Linked DNA regions of Lytechinus pictus. The protein of the gene in region 2 interacts with the protein of the main gene of each other region in a pairwise test. Links are inferred from orthologs where the notes say so. Each region holds a gene or a part of one and is shown on either strand. Other genes may lie near its edges. The genes, in order: E3 ubiquitin-protein ligase MARCHF5-like and ubiquitin-conjugating enzyme E2 W-like.

What was found.
Region 1: the proteins of ubiquitin-conjugating enzyme E2 W-like (region 2) and E3 ubiquitin-protein ligase MARCHF5-like interact in binary tests that used the Homo sapiens proteins (3 or more experiments, as listed by UniProt). The link is inferred for Lytechinus pictus from reciprocal best matches to the Homo sapiens genes UBE2W and MARCHF5.

What each region holds. Positions count from the first base shown.
Region 1 is NC_087256.1:23,778,852-23,787,069, reverse strand, and holds the start of E3 ubiquitin-protein ligase MARCHF5-like, read right to left. Parts: upstream 4,783-8,218; 5' UTR 4,568-4,782; intron 1-4,567. UniProt on the Homo sapiens protein: Mitochondrial E3 ubiquitin-protein ligase that plays a crucial role in the control of mitochondrial morphology by acting as a positive regulator of mitochondrial fission and as an important regulator of immune response.
Region 2 is NC_087261.1:15,045,176-15,053,393, forward strand, and holds the start of ubiquitin-conjugating enzyme E2 W-like, read left to right. Parts: upstream 1-2,694; 5' UTR 2,695-2,715; coding exon 2,716-2,727; intron 2,728-8,218. UniProt on the Homo sapiens protein: Accepts ubiquitin from the E1 complex and catalyzes its covalent attachment to other proteins.

The DNA.
Region 1 (8,218 bases), on a different chromosome or scaffold from region 2:
ATAAAAAGTATAGACACCTCTTTTATGACCTTATTTTAATATACATGTATTATGAAGGATACATTTGCCTAATTTTCGATTACGGAGTACCGGTTTACAATGGTATCCTATAAAAAAAAGCAATGTGCTTGCCTTAGAAAATATTCAGAAACGTGCTTGTAAGATTATGCTTGGATGCCAGTACAAAGACTACATGTAGGCCTATGCAGGCTATGCTACAGCATTAGAAACATGCAATATTTCTTTGTTAAGGCCACCGCACACCTTACGACTGTTCGCGATCCGATTTTGGAACAAATCGCATTTTGCTCATTTTCTGAAAATGTGAATGGAACATATCATTTTATTTGAGGTTAAAATTAATTGAAAGAATACTAATATAACCATTTTGAAAGATCGCAAGCCTTTATTTTCGAGTAAAGGCCAAATTAGTTTCAAATCGTAGCCAATCTTACGACTGCTATGACGTCATTATGACTAGATATTAAATTTGATTTTATTCTACGAAGAATGATAGCATAGTCACAGATTTGAACATAGGTATTTGTACAATGATTTGGAACATAACACAGTAAGATATTCCAAGTCTCAATATTAGCATCAAATTCTACTACGTTTTATTCCAAAATTGAGTCGCAGACCAATCGTAAGGTGTGCGGTCGCCTTTAGAGGCAAGACGAAAACAGAAATGTATTGACTTTGCCAGTTCTCTTGCCAAGCATCCACAATTTACAAATAGTTTACCTCTCAGACAGCAATGTAATTATGTTTTACGATCACAATGGAAATATCAACAATATAATGCAAAACTAAACATTTCCAATGTAGCTCTCTTCCATATTTGTTGATCTTTTAACAGGTAATCAATCTTATTTTGTTTTACTTTGTATGTTGACGGCTCCACAGACCAATTACATCATTGCATATTTTACTATGTAAATATTTAATGTTTTTGTTTTTAAATCTCATTGAATTTTACCTGCTACCAGCTCTAAGTGAGAGGATATAGTGTGTGCATGTCAAGATTTGATGATCATGATCTCTTCTTTTCTCTTCCTTTTCTTCTTCCTATTTTTTCCTCCTTTTCTCTTCTCCTTTTTCTATCCTCTCCATTTACTTCCTTACACCTTCATGACTTTATTTTCACTCACCTAATACTACATTCTTCTTTTTCTCCACCGACACTATATTTTCTAAGATCATACAATTACAATTTCTACAATAGGTTTGTGTATCATTTAGAAACTGTTACCATACTTTGTATGAAAACTTTATATGTAACTTGCATGTTTGTAAAATTGATCACTATTCAGCTTTTGGCGGAGATTTCAATAAGCCATTTTATATCTATCTCTGTATCTACCCTTCTACACATCTTCTTTTTTTTTCTTTTATGAATGATTCGGTTCATAAGAATGTCCAGCCAATGAAGGTCCTTGGTGTCTATGTACAATCAAGTCTTTGATGGGATTTGCATATCATCATTTTCAAAAGTTTTAGACCATCTGAAAAATTGTGTATATAGCGCATGTATGCAATTGTAATACTGTTAATAGTTTAATTAATAACTTGGCTATATATTATAAGTACATACTACATATATGGTAAGGTGCCCCAAGTCTTTGCAGTCCCCATTGTCTGTGCACATATCTGCGTGATTCTAATAAAAGAAGATACACAACAACCACAAACTTTACACCTGCAAGACCAAAAATCTGACACAAAGTGGTGGAGAAATTTTGAATTTCAGGCATTTCATGTGACAGCCTCAAAATGCAGCCTTTATCATCAAAATGCCTGAATCGTGTGTAAAGTGAATGGGTGCGTGAAACATTTTTTGGAAAGTCAAAAAGGGGCCTAAGCTTTCGATCCTAGCAGAATCTTCGTCGGAGGCAACCAACATTTTTTGGTTCAATCTGAAAATGACTGGCCAAGGTTTTTTTCCAAGAAAATCATACATTTCTTTCCAATTTTTAATAGCTTTTTGGCACACTTACTCATGAAAATATAAAAAACATTATCAACTGAATTTTTTTATGAAATAAAAAGAAATTCATGTTAAATCTTAAATTAAATAGTTAGGTGCACAGACATGCCCCCTGCCCAATTTATAAGTATTCATTCTGTGTTTCAATTGAATGGTTAAAGAGAAATTAGTTTAAAGAAATTGTCCAATAGCCTGAATCACCTGGTCTGAATAATACTTTTGTTTTTAAAAAAAATTGAAAATAGGTGACCAAGTGCTATTTTTATGGTAACTTGTAAGTTGAGTGAGGGGGGGGGGGTTCAAGTGTGCCAAATATAAGGATATTTTATGCACTGACAAAGTATCTGGCTCATTGCATTAACTCATTGAGTGTGCTTCTGGGACCCGTTTCATAAAAGACTTGCAATTGTTGTAACAGGGATCAGCAGCCAATCAGAATCAAGGTTTCCATGGTAGTTGCCATAATGGCAAAGTTACAACAGTTGCATTAACTCATTGAGTGTTCTTATACCCTTTTTACACACGCTAAAATTTCCTTAACCCCGTACTATAGGTGGGGCTAAATTGCCATTTAGCCCCACCTATAGTACGGGGTTAAGCTTAGCCCACTTTCTTTTTACACAGCATTTTTGCAAAGTGGGCTAACCCCACCTTTAGTACGGGATTATTTGGCCCTGCAAAAAAGCAGGGTTATCCCAGCAATTGCGGTGCTAAGAGCGATAGTACGGGGTTAAGATCGCTAGTGTAAAACGAAAGTGGGCTAAGCTTAACCCCGTACTATAGGTGGGGCTAAATGGCAATTTAGCCCCACCTATATTACGGGGTTAAGGAAATTTTAGCGTGTGTAAAAAGGTACGAGTGAAGTACTTGTACTACGAATGATCGACAAAAACCACTAGTCCGGGGTTAGCGAGTTTCGTGTGTGAAAAGCAAGCATTCCTTATCCGGGGTTAGCGATAACAATTTGGCATGTGTGAAAAGGAAAAAAAAATAGTACGGGGTTAAGGATAGTACGGGGTTAGCGATAGTCCGGGGTTAAGAAAATCCTGTGTAAAAAGGGTATTATTGATCTTCCTCAAAAGCACCATAGAAAGACACCCCCCTTCTTCTCTCTTCCTCTTCTTCTTTCTCTTCTTCCTTGTTTTCCTTCATGTCCTTTTTTTCTTCTTCTCCCTTTTTCTTTTTCACCCTTCTTCCTCTTCTCCCTTCTTCTTCTTCACCCTTCTTCTCCTCCTCCTCCTCCTCGTTTTGTTCTTCATTTATTCTTCCCTCCTACTTCCTTTTGCTTGCATTGTAGATGTAGATCTACATCTACTAAATGATGTGGCATTCTTATCTTTAAAATTGTTTGGCATCCCTTTCTTTATTTTGCACGAGTACTCTTTGAACCACAACAAGCAGTACAGGCGCACAGCCAATATGGGAGACTGTCTCCCATGAGAGAGATTATCTCCAATATCAGAGACTTTTGTGAAGAATTTGGGTATCCAATTTCAGAGACAGTCTCCAGTTTAGGAGACCAATTTCCTTTGTTCACATTTGCTGCAAAAGGATTACCTTGGCGGCAAATAAAAATGTGATAAGCAGATTCCTCATGAAAAATTACCCCTTTTCACCGTCTATTTTAAAAATTCACCGTCTACTTTTGTTTTGATAAGGATTTTTGTTGTCATCCACACACAAAACAAATGGGTTTCTGACCTCAGCGAGACAAAATTTTGGGTGGAAAAAATTATGCTTTTGTTGGTGTTTCTTTTGTTCTTTTGCAAAGCAAGTCTCTAATATGGGAGATTGTCTCCCATATTGGAGAGTCTCCCATATTGGCCGTGCGCCTCTACTGAACAAGTTAGCAAATTATTTTTAGACTTGTCTCAATCATTGACAATGTCATGAATGTCAATGCATCTCCAGAGTCCAGAATGGTTACTGACACCGGACCATCCAAGACCAACTTATTTCTAACTAGTTAAAGCCAAGGCATTATCCTGGTTTAAGTCACCACTCCATTCATTGCCGTTCATTTCGTCAATGGCAGTGACTTCTTTCATCTCCCATTGACTTTGTACACAACGAGCGCACACACACTGACACACACAAGAAGAGAGGTGACTTATTTCAGGAAAAGGCCGTTCTAATTAGGGCCTACTAAGTTAGAAAATCTATTTCGTCACACAACAATTTCAACAAACCATGCAATAAATTAAATGAAAACTCACTTTAAAACTGCCACAATTTTTTTTTTAATGGGGTAAAAATTTGGTCAGTTGGTGTGGACCCTTGCACAATCGCTAAATAAGTAGAACATTTATAAATAAGAGAGAAACTGAAAGAGATGACCGGCGATTTCGCTCCGTGCAGTATCTAACGTTAGATCTAAACCGAATCACGAAATTGTGATCCGCCTAATGCGACATGTGTGCATGAGAATCGCACGCGCCGATTAAGGAAATGTGCCTACACTCAATGCCGTCTAATTCGATTGCTAATAATTGCCTTGGCTTGGGCTTGGCTTTAAAGCCTAACAAAAATGACGCACACCACAACGAGACAACGACTCGAAAATGTTTATAGAGAACTTACAACTTTTCGTGTTACAGGGCAGGGCTACAATCAACCATTTAGAATATTAATAATCGGAAGGCAAGGTGGAGGTCGGCGGCGGTGCTCCTGCACTTGTAGTTGTGGAGTGTACCTTTATACACTGCTCGAGCTCTGGCGACCAATAACGCGCGACCTAGTACCTATGAGGTGAAAGTAGCGAGCTTTTGTCTTCTTCTTATGTTGGTTTGGGTGGCGATTAGTCATATTTGACTATTGTCGCCATTGACTCTATCTATAAAATCTCACTTCTCACATAATGATATTATTACCAATATGATGTATACATATATGAAATATTTTTATTGTGCATCTTTCTAATATGAAAAAGATAATTATAGTATATACAAAAGTTTGTCGTAACTCTTGTCAAAATGGCATATAAACAAATCTTCACCAAATACGCTTGCCCTGCCCTTTCAAAGATGCAATCACTGACCGGTCAGCACGGAGCGGAAACGTAGTAAAAAATCTATAAATCTCTCTAACTCATAATAAAACATCAAATTGATCAAGTGTCACACTGGAATATGCTCCTGAACTGAAAACTGTTTTTAATTGCGTTATAAGCATTGAATCTGAGAAGAGCAAATCCAAGTAGATTAGAAAATAACTAGAAAATAAATAGAAATACATTCTTGGTAGAACAATATTGTATGCCGCAATAAGCTTTAACTTCAGCAAAATATTTCATTCGGGAATTTGCATAAAGGTTGTTAATTTCCTACCTCAAATCTTAAAATGTGACATTTTGCGAAATGCCGCGTATATGACTACTTAGTTGAAAAACAAGCCATTTCACAGGAGGTTTTTCATGTAGGAATCTGAAATGGCACCCACATAATCCTGATATATTCTTTTTTCGTGTGAAAGGGTTTAAATTAGATAAATGACACATTTCAGAAGGTTTATAGGATAATTATTCCTTGTAAAAGGCTGATAATCCATGTTTTTTTTATTTACATTAGAAAAGTTTAGATTTCCGTGGATTTCCGTTTAAATTCTATCATCATCATTTTGCTAGATGTCTAAGCTTTAAGATGATACCAAATTTAGCTGCCCGTTTTTGCCCGTTTTCATGTTACAGCCGATTTTACTTGACACAACACCCCCAAAACCTGTTCAAAAACGGTCATTTTCATACCGCGCAGTCATCGCTGCGCACCGTGTGGGGTGTATACATTTCCTTTCATTTTTGCACGGCGAGGACGATTCCCCTTCCATTCCTTGAAAATGACATGAATTCCAGGCTTAATGCAAACAAAATAAAGGTTGATAACGCAAATTAGGGCTACCCGCCCCTCTTCCAGAGATAAAAGTTACTTGTAGAATAATTTCAGCCCAAAACCCTCCTCATAGTTATTCATTCGTGGTGTTATATACTCTGCGTTTTACCCAAGTCTACGCCGCTTGATAAAGCACGGTTAATATTTTTCAGATTTTTAAGTATTTTTTTATCTAATGATCATTTTGATGCCATCAAATTATTTTCAGAATCTCTTACGCACTTTTTAGGCATATGAGAAGCATAAACCACCGCTCACTCTGGTCAATCTTAAAGTAACACATAACACAAAGATTATATACTGCACATTGTTTAGCGTAATTTGTCTTTTCGCAGATAGATTTTAAGTAGCCAATCAAAATTTGGTATCAAAGTGACGTCATATCGGCTTTAAATTATGTTCAGTCGATTCTACGCCCAAAATTACCCTCAATCAACATGTTAAAGTAAAAATATAACACGGAATATAATTTTGGCGCACTTTCAACTCATTCTGGCCCACTGTGCGACGCCTCTAAATCTAGTCGGAATTTAAATAAGCCTATTATAAGTTGTAGTTTTTCTGAAATAGGCCTATAAGGGGAGGAGGTGTTAAAATGTAAATTAATTGATTAATAGAGGACAAGTCCACCCCTACAAAAAGTTGATTTAAATAATAAGAGAAAAATCCAACCAAGCATAACACTAAACATTTCAGCAAAAACGGATGTAAAATAAGAAAGTTACGACATTTTCAAGTTTTGCTTAATTTCACAAAACAGTTATTCATGCTTTGAAAGTTGAGAATAGGCCTACATTTGGTTGATCTTGTTCTCCAAATATTGATACTTCAATCACATTTGGCTGCAGGGTCCTGGGAAGGATTTTTTTTTACAGGGGTGGTGAAATTTGACAAGCAAAAAAAAAAGGGGGGGATCCATTACAAAATGCAGGGCAGTGATGATTGGGTTGTATTTTTTTGCAGCCTATATATGTTGAGTATCCCATTCAGTAATTTAACGATGTAGAAGATGTACTTTTATTTGCAAGTTCATAAAGTGCTCCATATGCTAGGTTTAAAGGACAAGTTCACCCTATCAAAAAGTTGATTTGAATAATAAGAGAAAAAAACACATTAAGCATAACACTGAAAATTTCATCAAAATCGGATGTAAAATAAGAAAGTTATGACATTTTAAAGTTTTGCTGTTTTCACAAAACAGTTATACGCCGCACATCCTGGTCGGTATGCAAATGAGGAGACTGATGACGTCATCCACTCACTATTTCTTTTGTATTTTATTATATTACTTTGTGAATTTTACTCTATTTTATTGAGGCTTCCAGCCTGGACCATCCCTTAAAGCATGCACGCGCGTGTTTAAGATTCTGGGCATTCTTAACGCATTTTTATCATGAAATCGTTGATAAAAATTTACTGTCATGAAACATGGATTTTAAGTATAGTTTGTTATAGAATTACTACAGGGGTATACATTATACTCACCAATGAAAATGCGAACGCGCAGCGCTAGCTGCATAGGTTTTGACAATCAAACCTGAAAAAGGATATTTTGAGAACTTTATGGAATACACGAAGAGAATATAGGTACTTGACAAATCAACTAATGCGAGCGCGCAGCGCGAGCTGAAAATGTTGATGCCCAGACAATAAAACAGACATTTTGCAGAGCACTAATTTTGAAAAACAATTTGTAAATCAACCGAAATAATGAATGATCGACGTCCAAACTGATTTATGTTTTGTATATTGACTTCAAAACTTGATATTTTCAGCTCAATATTGAGCAAGATATGTATTTCATCGATCATGCAATGCGAGCGCGAAGCGCGAGCGAAAATTTGATATAGTGACATACATTTTTTCCCCCAAGTCTTCTCCTTATTTCATTCACTCGTCTTCCTCCTTTTTTTTTCCTCTACTTTTTTTCTCCTCTCTTTTGCCTTTTTTCCTCTTATTTTTGCTACGCCAATATGGGGGGGGGGGGGGCCTCGACCCCGGCCCCCTGGATCCGCCTATGCCCCGGGGGGGGGGGGGGCACTCGACCAAAAAAGAGGTAGGGGTGTGCCGCGGGCGAGACAAAAAACGGGGGCCTTGGAGCGGGCTTGTTGTAAAAAGGAGGGTCCTCGGAACAGGCTTCGGAACTACAAATGTTTGTCAAAAGGGGGATCCTTGGAACGGATCGCCAGCGTGTACGTGAGTGCGTATGCATCCCTATGGAACGGGCATGATATGCGTGCATGATGCAGCTAGCGCGGCCTCCGACGGGTGCGCTCGCGCAGAGGCGATGGTCGGACAGAGCTCTGCGGCCGCTTTTCACCAAAATTGCAGCTCATTGTAGCAGATC
Region 2 (8,218 bases):
AACCCAGGACCAAAATCCAGTTAAAACCAATTAGGGCAAAACCAATTGAAACCAGTTGGCCAACTGGTTTCAATAGGGAAATTGGAACAACTGGTTCCAATTGAAAACCAGTTGCCAATTGGTTCCAGTTAAAACCAATTGGTTCCAATTGAAAACCAGTTGCCAATTGGTTCCAGTTAAAACCAATTGGGCAACTGGAACCAGTTGGCAATTTGTTCCAGTTGTTCCAATTTCCCTATTAAAACCAATTGAATCCAATTGGAGGCAACTGGTTTCAATTGGTTCCAATTGAAACCAATTGGAGGCAACTGGTTTCAACTGGAACCAGTTGAAACCAATTGGTTTCCAACTGGATCCAATTGGAACTTCCAGTTGGAATGAACTTAATTAGTTACAAATTAATTAGCATTTGCACTAACTATTGCTCATGCCAACACAGAAGCAGTGTTTTTATGTCTATTAATACCAATGTAAAGGGCATTGATAAAATACAGACTTTCATATGTATATATTTATATGGAAGATCTTCAAATATATGTATTTTTATTTGATGTAATTTGGTAACAGTTAGTGGTGTACTAATTATCCTTTAATCTGTTTTAATTATAATCTATAACATTTATGAACATGGTTTTCACTGCTAAGTATTCTAAATACTTATCTTTAAAAAGTGTGGTACTTGAAATTGAAAAGAATTAAATAGATACATTGTTAATGATGATGAATCTCATAAAACATTAATCTGTGCACACTGGCAGATAATATGCAAATTAACTGGTTTCAATTGGATCCAGTTGGGTAACTGGAAAATTTCCAATTGGAAACCAATTGGAAATAATTTCCAGTTACCCAACTGGTTCCAATTTTATTTCCAGTTACCCAACTGGTTCCATGCAATTAGAATTCATTTCCAGTTACCCATCTTTCCAGTTAGAAGTCATCTCCAGTTACCCAATTGGTACCAGTTAGGATTTCCAGTTACACAACTGCATGGTTCAAGTTGGAAATCATTTCCAGTTGGAAGTCATTTCCAGTTACCCAACTGGTTCCAGTTAGGATTTACAGTTGCCCAACTGGTTCCAGTTGGGATTTCCAGTTAGAAATCATTTCCAGTTGGAAGTCATGTCCAGTTACCCAACTGGTTCCAGTTAGGATTTCCAGTTGCCCAACTGGTTCCAGTTGGGATTTCCAGTTAGAAATCATTTCCAGTTGGAAGTCATTTCCAGTTACCCAACTGGTTCCAGTTAGGATTTCCAGTTGCCCAACTGGTTCCAGTTGGGATTTCCAGTTAGAAATCATTTCCAGTTGGAAGTCATTTCCAGTTACCCAACTGGTTCCAGTTAGGATTTCCAGTTGCCCAACTGGTTCCAGTTGGGATTTCCAGTTAGAAATCATTTCCAGTTGGAAGTCATTTCCAGTTACCCAACTGGTTCCAGTTAGGATTTCCAGTTGCCCAGCTGGTTCCAGTTGCATGGGATTTCCAGTTAGAAATCATTTCCAGTTGGAAGTCATTTCCAGTTACCCAACTGGTTCCAGTTAGGATTTCCAGTTGCCCAACTGGTTCCAGTTGGGATTTCCAGTATAACTCAACTGGTTCCAGTTAGAAATCATTTCCAATTGGAAGTCATTTCCAGTTACCCAACTGGTTCCAGTTAGGATTTCCAGTTGCCCAACTGGTTTCAATTGGTTTCAACTGGAAATTGTTAAATTCCAGTTGAAACCAATTGAAACCAGTTGAAACCAATTGAAACCAGTTGGAAATCCAACTGGTTTCAATTGGATTTTGGTCCTGGGAAGTACGCAACTGACGGTCAGGCACGGTGGCATCCTGACAAGAAAACCGTGTCAGCTGAAAGTTGGATTAGAGGCCGTCACAATATATATATATATTTCTACATGTATACATTTGTCATCTGTTCCAATCAGGGCACCCAAAACTAAATGTTCGGTGAGAGGACAGCCCCCCCCCCTCTCGCACCGAAGTTATTGCACTGTCCTCTGAGGAATTAGAAGGGGGGCGCGGCATGCAGCGCAGGAGAACATGGAGAATGAAAAGTTAAAGGAGAATGAAACCCTTGAAACCAGCTGAATCCATATCAAAGAGAAAAATCAAAGAAACATATTGTTGAAAGTTTGAGGAAGATTGAATGAATAATAAGAAAGTTATGAGCATTCGAATATTGAGATCACTGGTGCCATGTAGATCCTCCCAACGGCAATGCGACCAAGATCTGTGATATCACACACGTACAACTCCCTCATTACTTTAGTACTTATTTCACTTATATTCTCACTTTTATAGAGTCTATCACAAGGTGAGGTGTTCTCTCTATGAGATGACAAGTACAGAGGTTTCACAACATTATATCATTGATGAATCGTTTGTCATATGATTAGAATGAGCAAAAAGAGATGTTTTGGGGTATATTTTCAGTGTCCAAGTGGGAGAGTTGTACGTCACGGTGTGTGACATCACAGATCTTGGTCGCATTGCCAATGGGAGGATCTCCATAGCATTAGTGATCTCGACATTCAAATGCTCATAACTCTTTTATTGCTAGTCCTATTTTTCTCAAAGTTTTGTTGATCTTATTCTTTGATTTTTCTGCTTTCACAAAAGCTAACTTGCTCCAAGAGTTTCATTCTCCTTTAAGAAAATATGCCAATTGAGCCCTGAGAGGGCGCTTTGCAAATTACAATGAGGAAAGGCGAAATATGGCGACACAGGTAAGCTAAATGAGGGTTATTTACATGATTTATAACTGATATCGATGAGCTTTCGTAGATCTATTGGCTTAGCAATGGCCATCAAAGGGTTGGATACCCGTGTAGCTCTTAGAAACAGACCATTATTAATGCGACATGTTGGTCGTATTTCGATAATTTTGTCTCGTTCTCTGGTCGAGACCAAAACTGGCAGCTGTTTGTGCGACTGTCAACACCCAACGGATTGCTCCTTCTGTCTTTGCCCTGAGCTGCCGGGTGTGAGTTTGTGTGCTTCGTTCGTGTGACTGTCTTTCTCCCACCGCAGCGCGGAGCGGGAACTCGCTCAATTTTCGCCAAAGGCCCAACTGCATCACCAATCAAAGACAGTGCAGTATCAGGGCTGCCAACTTTTGAGAAGAGCTTGGAGTGAGACATTGCGAGGAAGCGATCGAGGGCACGGAGCGCCCGAGGGGGGATGGTGTGGTCTGTGGAAGGGGGTGTGCCCCCTTCCACGGTAGGGAGCTTTTAATTACAATTTTGCAATTTAAATGGTGTTGCAATCTGGCACATACTTTTAACTCTGAGTCCATAAAAAGGCATAAATACCGTAAGGGCACTAGTATTCAACCCGTTTGGAGAGTTTCCTCAAAGTCAAATATATAGAAATATAGAATTTATCTTAATTTCAGACCCGTCTTAACTCTTATTTCCGAGAGCAAATGCTGGTTATTCTTTTTCAGTTATTTTTTTCTTCAACCCATCGACTGTGCACGGGCGATCGAATTATACGGCGATGGTTTTTGCCACTACTAGTATTCAATCCGTCGGCACTAGTATTCAACCTAGCGCGGAAAGATGACCCTGTCTCTCAATCTGCCCTTGTCCCATCTGACTATGGACTAGACCATTTGAGATGAGACCAAACGGAATTAATCAAAGCCAGAGACTTACATAGATCTAGATCTAATTTAGCAATCTAAACCATTTTGAGATTCGCTATCTATCATCACTAGGTTGAATACTAGTGCAATTCAATGCAAAAGGTCATCGCCACATGATTCGATCCTCCGCGCATATAGTCGACAGATTGATAAAGAAAATACCGACAACAGATTACCCTGGAAATAACAAAGGTATGAAAATAAGATAAATTCCCTATTTCTAAATATTTGGGGGAATTTGTCCAAATCTTTGAATTATGCTGGGTTGAATACTAGTGCCCATACGGTATATACTTAAGTTAAGGCAGGATTCAAATAGGTTAATTGGCTTTTTTAATGAAGTTCACTGACCTTGAAAAAAATTCCACATTTTTAAGTTTCATTATTCCAAATCAACTGTCTATAAGCTTAGCAGTGAAACCTCAACCTGTGATTATCTGCTGCTCCCTTAAGCAATTTTTTATCGGATAATGTACACACTTGCACGTTGCACTTCACCAGTACGACAATACACCAGACGGTGGACTACTGTTTCCAGAAGAAGAAGAAAGAATGAAGGAAAGAAATAAAGAATTAAGGAAGCAAGCAAGCAATATAAAAAAAAGAATCGGTAAAAGAATAGATGAAAGAAAAAAAAAAAGAAAGACCAAAAGACAAAAAAAGGAAGGAATGAAGGAAAGAAAGAAAAGGTAAAAGGATAGACGGAACGAAGGGGAAAAACAAAGAAAGAACAAAAGACAGAAAGGAAGGAATGAATGAAAGAAAGAGAGAAAAGGCTGAAAGAAGTAAGAAATAAAAAACAAGAAAGGGTAAAGAAAGGATGGATGAAAGGAAGAAACAAAGAATGAAGCAAAGAAAGGGTAAAAAGAAGAAAGAAAGAAGAGATAAATATAGGATGGATGGATTCAAGAATTACAGAAAGAAAGAAATCAAAAAAGAAAGAAAAAGAAATAGAGAAAAATATTTGTTCAAAGGACAGAAAGAACGAAAGACAAAAAAAGGGAAAATTAAAAAAGAAAGACAGTAACAAAGAAATGAAAGAAGAAAGGGAAGAAACAAAGTATGATTGAAAAGAAAGAAAAAAAACAGAGGAAGAAAGCTAAAACTATCATCATAAAATAATAAATTATCAGTTTCTTTTTGGCTCAATTAAAATAAAGCTACAAAAGAAACCAAGTGTATCGCCATGACATGGCATTGCATTGACACTCAATCGCTCGTTGTGCCTCGCACGAAACCCCGCTTCATAGTAAATTTCGACGTCACCAGCTCTCACACGCGGGATACAGTAAGCCAATCGCATTTGCATTGATGGTTTAGCTTTGCGCTTGTGTGGTTAAAAACTTTGAAACTTATGCCTGGCCGGGTTATAATGTTATTGAATATCCGATATTGGCTAATAAACTTTTTTTCTCTCTATTTTCGGGGTTCAGCTTGAGAATTCCTATGATCAGCGTGAGAATCGGGTGAATTGTGTGAGACTCACGCAGATTGCGTGAGAGTTGGCAGCCCTGCAGTATGATGGGGGGGGGGGCCTAAACTAAGATATATGCACTTTGTTTACAAATGATGAAAACTATGTCTATACTATGCCAATTTTAATATTTGAACAAATTATTTTTCACTAATTTGGGGTAAATATTCCAAATCCGACCAAAGCATGAATGAAAGATCCTTACCCACATGACCCAAGATTAGAACAAGATTGAAGAAGATCTAATGTTAGATCTAGACTAGGCCTAGACAAAGAAAATATCACAAAATATGAAAATCCTGATGTGTTTTCCAAACACCTCTTGATTTCACCGCCTGATGTAGAAGGAAAAGAAATGGTATTTCCAGTGTCATATACATGTAGGTTCATGTTATTTTAGGAAAGTGAAAATAACTTCAAACTCCAAAGTCAAAGACAGTAACTTACTAAGGCGCTGGTCAGAAAATTGGGATTGTCCCAGCTTACAGGGACTGTCTCAGTAATAAAGGACAAGTCCACCCCTACAAAATGTTGATTTGAATAAAAAGAGAAAAATCCAACAAGCACAACACTGAAAATTTCATCAAAATCGAATGTAAAATAAGAAAGTTAAGACATTTTTTATTTTCGTTTAATTTCACAAAACAGTTATATGCACATCCTAGTTGGTATGCAAATGAGGGGACTGATGACATGACTCACTATTTCTTTTGGATTTCATTGTATGAAATATTCAAATGTTATTGTCCTGTGAAACAAAGTTTTATTTCACTCTGAAGTCTGAACATGGTGGAATTACCATTGTTTAACATTTTATGGATCAGTCAAGTTGGTCCTTATTGTCAGATCTGCAAAAATTGAAATATTGTTTAATTAAAATAATAAAAAAACAAAAGAAAAAGTGAGTGAGGAACATCATCAATTCTCTCATTTGCATGTGACTAAATTATGCATACAATTATTTTGTGAAAAATAAGCGAAACTTTACTTTAAAATGTCATAACTTTCTTATTTTACATCCGATTTTGATGAAATCTCCAGCATTATGCTTGTCTGATTTTTCTCTACAAGAAATCTATGAAAGTTCATTCACCTGTCAAGTGCCGACATCAATTGAGCTGAGTGAATGTGAATGCTAGTCACTAGAGAGTTTTAGGAGCAGTGAACGTGAACGACGTAGCAGTCATCTGATCGTTCGAGTCAACATCGTCGTCTGCCCTTGTTCACTACAGATGCGAATACTTTAGATTTCACTCGACTTGTACGTGTACGTACGTCCACATGAAACAGCGCGATAACCAGCGGGTCATGACACGCTGCCCGACCCGGAAGATCTTGGGCACCATCGCCTGGCGACCCGGTCGGGTGATGCGAATGTGCAACGTGTGCACATGTGCCCTTTCACTTGCTTTGATTCCTTTTTACGCGAGTTAGGATATATATCGATGTATATTTTGGAGATCAGATTGCAATTTCAAATATGATAAACATAATGCATCGTACAACTTACATTAATTTTGTGAAAAGTCACTGAAAACTGTGTTTTAAAAGGGAAAGGTTGATCTTCATGCTGGGCTTGAATGGTTAAAATGACGTCACTCACGTGCACGTCGTCTATGATTTAGGAGAACCGCAAAATGGATGTGGCGAGGTTCTCGATTTTGATAGTGGATGTGTGTGAGGACCTAAGGCATATGGCAGGCCAAAAAATGACGTCATCTCGTACCAGTCCTCTATGTCGACGTACCTTTCTAAAAGTGCTCAATGTGAACATATCAGGTTTCATAAGATTATTGGAAGACAGCAAGTCGTGAAAAAATAGATGGTGAACTGTTGGGAATTGAGGTCACTGAATCCATTTTTAGCACTCTCAATCCCCGTAATTGCATTCTATGTCCCGCAGGGGTAAGTGAAAAAAAACTCCCCATTGGCATATAAACATGGACAATCTCAATTTTTCAAGACATGAATTGTTCTGGTTTATGAGGATCTCAATTTTTGGATCAGCGCCTCTACTGAAAGAGTTGCTAGTTTTCTATGCATTTAGTGATTTATTGCAGCCTCTGTAAAAGCAAATTGAATAGGAATCTTTCGTCACTCTGCAGTCACAGTTCCACACACAGAGTGCGCATTTTGCCATTGAAATTGCATGCGTGGTAAGTGGTGCGTAGCTTCAGGACCCCTTACCATACAAGGCCAAGAACGGACACTTTGGCGATTTTTTTTAAACACTCCATTCGCTCGTGGGATGGGCGCGCAGGCCCAACAGCATTGAGCAAGTAAACCTTCGCACATTGGCATGCAATGTATTGAAAATGATAGGGGTGTTTGGCCTTTGGGAGAGGGCACAAGTGCGGCGCGTGTGGATAAGTCCACCTCTAAGATATTCATCTCTAATTTTAGATTTAAAGAAATTGAAGAGAAAAAAAATTAATATAAAAATCGTCTATTCTCTCCCCCCTCTACCATTTCTCTCATATGTTTTCAGGGTTCCCAGCCAATCAGGGAAATCAGGGAAGATTATTTAACTTTTTCCAGTCAGGGAAAAAATCAGGGAATTCGATAAAAAATACCTCAAATCAGGGGACAATGCCTGAAATCAAGGAAAAATCTGAATTTTTATCAGCCCAAAAGTCGAAAGCACGGTAGTCAGTCAGACTTTGTTATATTTTGTTGCATATCAAAACAACATCAATTGAATGACTGGTTATGGTATACTAATTAGTTTTACATGATTGTTTTTATACTAAAAATACGTGTCATTCACTGCAACAAGTTGCGAAACTGGGATTGGGTTTAAATAATTATCAGGGAATTTTAAGACTTCGTTGGGGAAAAATCAGGGTATTTTTTTTTGAAAAGCTGGAACCCTGTGTTTTTTACACAACCCAAAATGGCTATTTATTCAGCGCTGTTGGGCAATCTTCCCGAGCATTTTAATACAGACTGTCCAGTCTTACCCTTGCAGTGTCTTTGCTCCAATTAAGATTTTGAGAGTGGAGTCTCAACGGGCAACACAATAATGGGCCAAATTATGTATTTGGGAACCTGTAACACAGTGAATGGCAGGAATGGAGGTGAAAGTATTGCTTTATAT